Linked DNA regions of Drosophila melanogaster. The protein of the gene in region 2 interacts with the protein of the main gene of each other region in a pairwise test. Each region holds a gene or a part of one and is shown on either strand. Other genes may lie near its edges.

Region 1 (4,555 bases), on a different chromosome or scaffold from region 2:
GTAGTTTTGGCTTTTCTGTCCCTATCCTTTTCGTTTTAATAGAAAACCACTCGCAGTGAGGCTCAAGCAGTGTGACCGCCGCTTTTTCTCGTAAAGGTGGCGAAACATCGATGCCAACATCGATGGCGTCGATGGTATCGATGGTATTTACTGCACATCGGAGAAGATATGTGTATATATTGTAAGTATAAATTGTAAGTTCCATATTTTTTAATAGAATTATTAATAACATATCGCAAATTTAGTGTGACTTGCTGGTGGTGTTGGCTGATGTCCTGAAAGACGTGGATAAATATCTGAAATTTAAGTTTTTAACTCCTGAATAAGGAGGGATGAAGACGTAGACGACAATAAGTTTATGTTTAGTTAAAATACTGCCTTTTTTATTTAGTCAATATTAAAAAAGAAAATAATATTTAAATTAAACAGATAATTTTTTTGTTTTTATTTAAAACATCGATGTTTAGAACAACATGTTTAAAGAATATGTTTAAGACTTTGATATTTTTCGCCAAATCGGAAACATCGATGTTTCTCCACCACTATTTTCTCGTCTAATTCAATAACGATTCCGATTCGTGTCGATAACCTTTTGGTATCTTAATCAAAATTTTTAATGTTTTGTTTATGGTATACCGATCAAATTGCAAAAAAGTAAAATCGAAGAAAAATCAAAACATTTTTCAAAAGTATATGCGTGGCAGTTTTGGGCGGTTTGTGGGCGTGGGAATTAGTTTTTTGCAATTCAAACAGGACTTATAACAAAATTTTAAAAATATCAAAACATTTTTCAAAAGTGCGCGCGTAGCGTTGGACGACACTAAACTGGGCCACATGGGTCAACAAACTTGCGCTGCGACTGTCTGTTTTATAGTTCCTGAGATTGAGGCGTTCATACGGTCAGACGGACATGGCCAGTTCGACTCGGCTATTGATCCTGATCAAGAACATATGTTTATACATGTATACTTTATAGGTCGGAAACGCTTCGTTATCCATAATTACAAAATTGTATTTTATTCATTAATTGCTGATTGAGTTCAGTTGGTACTACAGTACATCAAGTACTTTTTGAATTATTTTCTGTTCGGCAAGTAGCCCGTTTACGAAGAGTAAAAGTTGCAATAAATTAGATTTTTCAAATTCAGGGCTCCGGCCATCCTGCCCTTGAGCCACCTCTTCTGCTAGGAGGCACCGCCCGCTTTGTGGCCACTGCCCTTTTCCCGCTTGACTATCGGCAGCCGCGTCCAGATGTAGCCGCCCGATCTCTGGGCAGTGTACTCATCCACGTCCGGCAGGGGAAACGGGGTGCTCCGGTCGAAGTAGTAGTTGCTGGGAGCATGCATCACGAACTCTAGGTAGCAGAGCTTCCGGGACAGCTCCTCATCGGGTCCTGCAGGCACGGGAGTTAAGCAAAAATACAATTTAAAAAACTTTGGGTAGCAGGCAGGAGGACAGGACTGACATACCGATTAGGTAGGTAGGGGGATCGAAGCCCTCCTGGGGATCCGGACTGTCCTGCGTGGGAATCAGCCAGGTGAGGAAGGCGGACTTCTCGCAATAGGCGTCCACAAGCAGACCGCGTATCTGGGCGTAGTACAGATTCTGCTCGCTGTCCACAATGCTGACGATATCCCCGATTTGTATATAGCTGCCCTTGTGGAAAAGGCTTCTCACGAACCTGGTGCTCGCCTGCACCTTGGGAGTTTTCTGTGCTGGTTTCTTGAAGAGAGCGCGGCGATTACGGGCTCCAGTGGCCCCGCCTGTGCCCGCTGGACCGGACTTCCCATGCTTGTTGGTATTACTGGGATGGGCGCCAGCGCCCGCGAGGTGCACGGAGCTGCCGGTGGAACCATTCGCCCCGCTATTGTGGCCATTTGACTGGCTACTGCCGCTTCCGGGAGTGCCCTTGCCCGTTTGCTTGGCCTTGAAGCGCGTGCTCTTTCGCAGACGCTTTATTATCGTTGGGGAGCGGGTGGGCGCCTGGTTGGCTGTGCCATTTAGACTGCTACGGGTGATCTTGCCCGCAGTTCTCTGGCTGGGATTCGCTGCTGTCTCCGGCGAACTGGGCGCGACTTCCTCCTGAGCCTGCGGCTGCGGCGGCGGCTTCACTGGCTTGTCCTCCTCCTCGATTTTGATGGCTGTCGGATTGCTGGGCGGTTGCACGGAGCCGTCCTCCAGTGGCTTCTGGTCCTGCGCGTCCTTCTGCTCCTCCTCCTCTTTTTTCTCCCGTTTCGTTTTGGAATCCATCGGCTGCTCCAGCTCGGCCACCGTTGGCATCCGTTCGCTAGTGGTAAGATCGTTGTCTATCTCCATGTCCACGTCCATGTCGGTGGAGTCCTTCTGTGGCTCGCAGGAATAGGAGGGAGCTGCGACAATGGAGGCCAACGCCAGATCTCCAGCGGCTTCTGCTTGGAGGCCGTCGCCTGCGGTTGACACCTGGTACATGGGACTGACGCACTTGTTTAGGTCGGCGTCGGTTGACATGGCTAATCCATGCCCTTATTCAGGTCGTAGTGATTTTTAAAACAATAAATGCTTCAATGTGCTTGTTCTGCTATGCAAAACAACGTAATTTGTGTAGTATGTTTTTGTTAAACCAGTGTTGCCAGACCGGATCGGCGGGGGCTGCCAGGTAGCCAACTGTGCTCTGACTAATGCAGCCCTGGTTTTTTTAGGAATTCAAAATAGAAAGAAGAAATACCGGTGGAGATTCCATATTCAATTTCTCGCCAGTGGCGTTTTGTTAGATTTCCCTATCAATTTCGTTGGTAAAAGAACGTTGACCGTTGAACGTTCGGCCACCGTTGGCATCCGTTCGCTAGTGGTAAGATCGTTGTCTATCTCCATGTCCACGTCCATGTCGGTGGAGTCCTTCTGTGGCTCGCAGGAATAGGAGGGAGCTGCGACAATGGAGGCCAACGCCAGATCTCCAGCGGCTTCTGCTTGGAGGCCGTCGCCTGCGGTTGACACCTGGTACATGGGACTGACGCACTTGTTTAGGTCGGCGTCGGTTGACATGGCTAATCCATGCCCTTATTCAGGTCGTAGTGATTTTTAAAACAATAAATGCTTCAATGTGCTTGTTCTGCTATGCAAAACAACGTAATTTGTGTAGTATGTTTTTGTTAAACCAGTGTTGCCAGACCGGATCGGCGGGGGCTGCCAGGTAGCCAACTGTGCTCTGACTAATGCAGCCCTGGTTTTTTTAGGAATTCAAAAACGTTCAACGGTCAACGTTCTTTTACCAACGAAATTGATAGGGAAATCTAACAAAACGCCACTGGCGAGAAATTGAATATGGAATCTCCACCGGTATTTCTTCGACCGTTTATATTATTAGTACATTAGATTCGATGGCAAGTGTGTATATAAGGTAGAATTGCGCTATACTGCTATTTTTAGTTCGAATTCGCAGAAGATGTCATAATTTAAGCGTAAACGTAAACATATACCTTGTAGGAACTAAATTAAAAATGGTCGAGAAGCCAATTCAGAATTTAGCATCGATAAGTACGCAAAAGCTTTCTAAAGAGTTTAGGTGTAGTTTCGCACGCTTTCAAGAGCTATTCATTTCTTTCTGCTCCTCCGGGACGGCCCAGCAACCTAAGCATGGCACATTACTTAAAAGATGTCATTTATTTTGAGTTCGTACGTCTAGTTAATCAATGTAGTACTCGCGCTATTGAACAAATTATCCTATATAATTTAAAAAAGTTTGTTAAAAAGGGCTGCGCATACCATTCTGCTTCACTTTTCGTTCTTACTCCGGATTGTTTTGTTATTTACTCTTTACTACTCGTATAGCTAATAAGATCCTTACACCTAGCGAAAAAAATAGTGACAATAATGGGGATTCGGGAATAAAATACATTTACAAGGAGTCATGCCTGGATTTTCGGGGAAGGTGCGCGGAAAACCACGAGTTTTCCACGACGTATGGTATGGTTGGGGGAAAGGGTCATGTGGCATAGCATCGCTTTAAGATCATTGGGGCAAAAGGGCTCCTTTTGCGTTTGTGTTTTCGCAACGCATGGGCCTTTAAATGTTGCGGTTTCGGTGGTTGCCGCCTCGCTGGTTGCGATTGTTTCCGTTGCCGTTTCCGCCTGATCCTCCGCCCGGAAAGTGCCCTCCTCTGCCGCCATTATTGTTGAAGTTATTGAAGCCCATGCCCATGTTGCCCATTGAATTCATGTTGTTCATGACGCCAGCTCCTCCCCCATTGTTCCCACCAAATGGGTTGAAGGGATTGCCATTGGGCACAGGTCCTCCTCCTTGGTTTATCCCCAACTGGCCAAGTCCTCCCAGATTGCCAACGCCCTGGTTTAATCCATTGCCATTCGGAGGCATTCCCATCAATCCTCCGCGTGGCGGTGGCTGATTGAAAGGGGGTCCCACGTTGCCCATTTGCATCATCATTCCCGACATGCGAAGCATTCGTATGTTCGGTGGCGGTAGCCTTAACATTTGGCTCAGATTTGGTGGGGGTTGCGATAGATTGGGAAGCACTACTCCTCCTCCTCCTCCTCCTCCTCCTACTCCGCCTCCAGAATCT
Region 2 (4,628 bases):
GCGGTTGCAGCACGTCTGAACGTGTTTATGGCGCGCATATCCGCAAATATGCAATCAGACCATAATCTACTTAATGTCTTTTTCGCCGGGAGGTGAGCCGCCCACCCGTGGCCATCATTAAAAAAGGAAGAGCAAAAAAAAAAAAAAAACGAAAAATGGGGAAAAAGAAGTGCGCACTGCGAATGAAGTAATGCAGTTTGCCACACACGTGCTGTGCGGATTTATGGCCAAAAGCAAAGGACACGCCACATTAACCGAAATTAGGCTGTCACTTTTTGGCCATTCGCGCATTAGCTGCCAAAAGTGAAGTTAAAAGTGCGTGTTTTTTCCGCTTTTCATTATCAAGGCTTTTGTTGTCTACTTTTTGGCGCGCAGCGAAGCATGCGCTGCTTTGAAGTCATTGGCAAGGATATGAGTTGTATTTTGTGAGCAACAGCAGCAGCTGCGGAAATCGAGTTGAAGCAAATGAAAGGATGTGAATTTTAAATGGTTAACTGCGAGACTTGAATGGCACGACAACAATCTGTACAATAACGTATTACAATCAAAAAGATAATTAACAATTTCGTTTACAAATTAATAGGTCTCGACGCTTTTTTTAACTGACATAAAAATTCGAACATTTAGATCTTGTAGATTAGTTGTAAAGTATGTAACACTATAAAGTCAGAATCACTGACAATGTCCGCTTGACTGTCCGTTTGACTGTCCGTATGAACGACGAGATATCGGGTACTATTAGATCAAGAACTACAACTACTTAAGATACTGTTAAACAGATTAACAATTTATGCATCTTTATTTCAGATTGTTGTCATGCCCGCACGTACGACCACAAACCAAAAAAGTCAATTATATAATTTTGTTGAGTGTTTGAATTTATGAATTTAATTTATTATTGCCCAATTTTATTGATGCTAATTTGACGCTCCTCCTAAAAGGTTCTTCCCCTCTTTTTCTAGATTAAATCACTAATGACTGCGGACTCTAGTCCACTTCATGCCATCCGAAAATGTAATTTAGTTAGATATCATCCCATAAGAAAATTTATTTATATTTCCTAGTCGCCCTTGTTGCTTTTCGTACCCACGATGCATTCCAAGAATCCTTTATCCCCTGCAACGCTTTTCTTTCACTGCTATCCCACTTTCAGTTAAATTTACACAACCTTTTAGCTAATTTTAAAGAAAAGTCGACACACAAAGGCCTGAAGGACACAGAAATCGGGCAAAACAAAAAGACGCTTTGCAAAATATTTTGCCGTAGACAACATTAGATATTGTTTTGAGCTGTGCAGACATGGGCTGGCATTTTAGTTTAGTCTCTGTTCCTCGTTGGAGTTTTGTTTCTAGTTCTGGTCTGGTTCTGCAACTGCTTCTGCTTCTGTTTCTGCTGCTGTTTCTGCTGCTGTTTCTTTTGCCATTATTGTTATTGGGGGTTGGGGACGGCTGACAGTCTCCGACTGGCCTGTTATTGTTGGCCCGGCGCACAATGCGGCCATAAAAAGCTGCCAAGCCAAACAATTGAAACAATAAAACGGCTTTAAGAAGGGGCCCTCGGAGCTGCGGCTCTGGCAGAGTAGATAAAGGCAATTAGTGTTGGACTGCAGTTTACTCAAAGTTTCAATCGGAACCGCCGAGTCGTCTAGCTGGTTGGGAACAGGATCTCCTCCAGCTTGGCGTTGAACAGAGACTTGACCGTCTCGTCGGTGGTGTCGATGATCAGCTTGTAGTAGCCCGATCGCCGAAGCAGTCGTTCTTCGTCATCAGCCACCCCGTAGATGTCCTCGATGGGCATCAGGATCTCGCTCTCATTCGGCAGGATTAGCTTGCGTGCATCCTTGCGGAACACGGCCACCGCCTTTACCATGTTCGTGTGTGCCCTCACATAGTGCTGGAAGGTGAGGCTCTTACGCTTCGCTGAGATCTTCGACTGTATGCGATCGAGACGGGCTATCAGGCGGAGCAGTATGAACCGGGCATAGCGATCCTTGATCTCCAGCAAGGACATCTCACTGCCATTGTCGAGGGCTGGGCGCAGATAGACGCTCAGGATGATGAATACGAAAATGGCGTTGATCGCGAAGATCAAGAGCAGTATAGCCAGCTGGATGCAGTCGATGTCCTGCGAGAAGACCTCCGCCAAACGCTTCCAGTACATGAGGTCGTAGTGGTGCACGCTCCATTGGTAGTGCAAGTAGGCTGTTACTGCCACGCCCAGTCCGCTGTAGAGCGCTATGTACGGGTAGTTCGCGTGGAAGAAGTCATTAAACTGCACTCGTAGCTTCTGCCACAGCTCCATTATGTCCTGTGTCCTTTGGTTCCTTCTTTTTTCGGTGTATGGTTCCTGGCTGGTAGGGGATGAGTCCGACTGGGTTTGAATTTTCGTTTCGGTTAATTTTGGTACTTATGTTCCGAAAGGTTGATCCATACAATTAGTCTACTTAGTTCGGAGTAATGCAAAATGAAAGACGATTTTAACAAGCCTCTTATGTGGCATTTGTCTGTGATTATACTTGATTAGGTTAAGTTCTTAATATTTTGTAATTTTTTTAATAAATATAAAACAAACTCACGCATTGAATTGGCCATATGAACATTTATAATCTCTATATCTCTCGTTCTCTGATTATCTCTTTATTTCTATTCAAAAATGAAACTATTAATTCTGCAGTATTATTATGGTCTTTAAATTGCTCTGATTTGAATGAGCTATTGAATTGGATTGAAATTGAGTTTTACTCAAAAGTATAAGAGTTTTTTTTTAGCCCGTTCACCCTGCAACCAAATGTTGTGGATGCCAAACAAGTTGCGAGCTCGACGAGGCTGGGTCGAACTTGTTTGGCCTGAAGGGATTGAGCTTTATTGGTGTTGTCTGTAAAGGTTTGAGCAGTTTTGAACAGCACTCATGTGGTAAAGGTCTGTTCCCCTGAAACATGCAACCAATTTCAGTGGCCACAACTCGCATGGAACCGCCCACGACTGCAACTCGAACTGTCTTAAAGTCTTTGGGTTGCATTGTATTCTTCATTTTTTTTTGCGTGTGCTGCAGGCAACTAAAATACGTAAAATACGTCCAGGTCCTGTTGGGCGACAACATTTCGCTATCTGGACTAAGTTTTGCCAGTAACCCGCTTGCGCCCCTCCGCTTTTCCTATCAACCCTAACCGATTTGAGACGTTGATAAGGCAAGCGAAAAAAGCATAGCATACTTCTGAGCGCAATGCAATTTTCCGTTTTCATGTTCTTGGCTCTACTTTTTCGACGTTTTATGCTGCTCTTTCCCTTTTTTCGGGTTCGTCCTTTTGTGCTCTGCACTTATTATTGTCTCTTTTCGGTTGACTTTTTGCGCCGAGGCCAAAGTGCATGCAAAACTGCATTTTGTAGACAAGCCGAAAACCGAAAACTGCCAGCCAAAACGGAAATATTCAAAAATGGTTGGCGGAGTGGGCGGTAGTGGGCGGTAGAGTTCAGTGGGTGGGGACGGCCTATCTGCCAACTCTCGGCCTCTTCCTCCTCCTTCCTCCGCGTAAGTGTGTCTGTGTCTGTGTATGTGTGTGTGTGCGCGCTAATAAAAACGTAAAATTTAATGGTTACGGAAGGCACTAAAAAACAGGCTCACCGACAGCACCCAAGTAGTTGTTGCTGCTTCTGCTAGGTTCGCACTTGCAAAAATCGAGTGCTTTCTTATTAAAACAATTAATATTTGACAGTGAGATATTTTCATAGCTTTCACCTTTTATACAAATTATAGGCACATAATGCACTCTTTCAACTACATTTCATAAGTAAAACTCAAATTAAAGGCACGAAAAGAAAACATTAAATTTGGTGTGCCTTATAAATTGTGTTATTATATATTTCATTAATTTTTGTTAATTAATTAATTATGTTAATTTTTTTTTATTAAAAGAAATGAGGTATATTTAGAATATATTTTTATTTACTTCATAGTTGCCTTAGGTAGATACAAGCTGATTGGAAATTGTCTCTTTCAAGACCATAACTTAGGGTCTCAAGACCGAAAAAAACATTCTACTTTGCTTCAATACGCATCAATCAACGGAAGCTCTATCCGATTTTTCCGAGTGCATCTGCAGTTGCCGCTGCACTCGTAGTGGTGCAGGCAGTGGTCTTCGGCTGTGTGAGTAGTGGCACTGGCGATAACCAAGCAACGAACCACAACCGCACCAAGGAGCGCGGGGAAAACCATTCGATGGGCAAAACTGTAACTACGCCAACCGCCGCCGTCCTTGCCACCCCCTTTGCCAGCCACCATTTCGCCCGCCGCCGACGCAGTGGAGCGCCCATCCGTGCACGTCAAACGCAGACAACTTGAAAAATGTAGAGACAGCGCCGCAGTATAGTTGAAACACGCCAAAAAATATGCAAAAGTAAAATAAAACAGGCACGGCAGACACAGCGACAGACAAACGCATTTGGGCCCGTCGAAAAGCAGGCCCAAACCAGCAACTTCCAGCCACCAACTACCAACTACCAGCGACCAGCTACCAGCTACCAACATCCAACGTTCGACAGTCGAGGGTCGAGGTTCGACATTTGCCGTTAAGGGTTTTTCGCTGTTGCTGTTTACACCCGATCTCAGCCGAAAAGGGAAACTCGGGGGTA

Evidence for each region. The genes of interacting proteins can lie anywhere in the genome.
Region 1: the proteins of CG6497 (region 2) and CG13367 interact in a two-hybrid assay, tested with the Drosophila melanogaster proteins (one large-scale study listed by BioGRID).

Annotation. Positions count from the first base shown.
Region 1 is NC_004354.4:642,828-647,382, reverse strand, and holds CG13367 (uncharacterized protein), read right to left. Parts: upstream 2,623-4,555; 5' UTR 2,488-2,622; coding exon 1,470-2,487; intron 1,394-1,469; coding exon 1,185-1,393; 3' UTR 997-1,184; downstream 1-996. Other genes in the region: su(sable) (suppressor of sable), read right to left, coding at 4,042-4,555.
Region 2 is NT_037436.4:17,251,523-17,256,150, forward strand, and holds CG6497 (uncharacterized protein), read right to left. Parts: upstream 2,416-4,628; 5' UTR 2,302-2,415; coding exon 1,645-2,301; 3' UTR 855-1,644; downstream 1-854.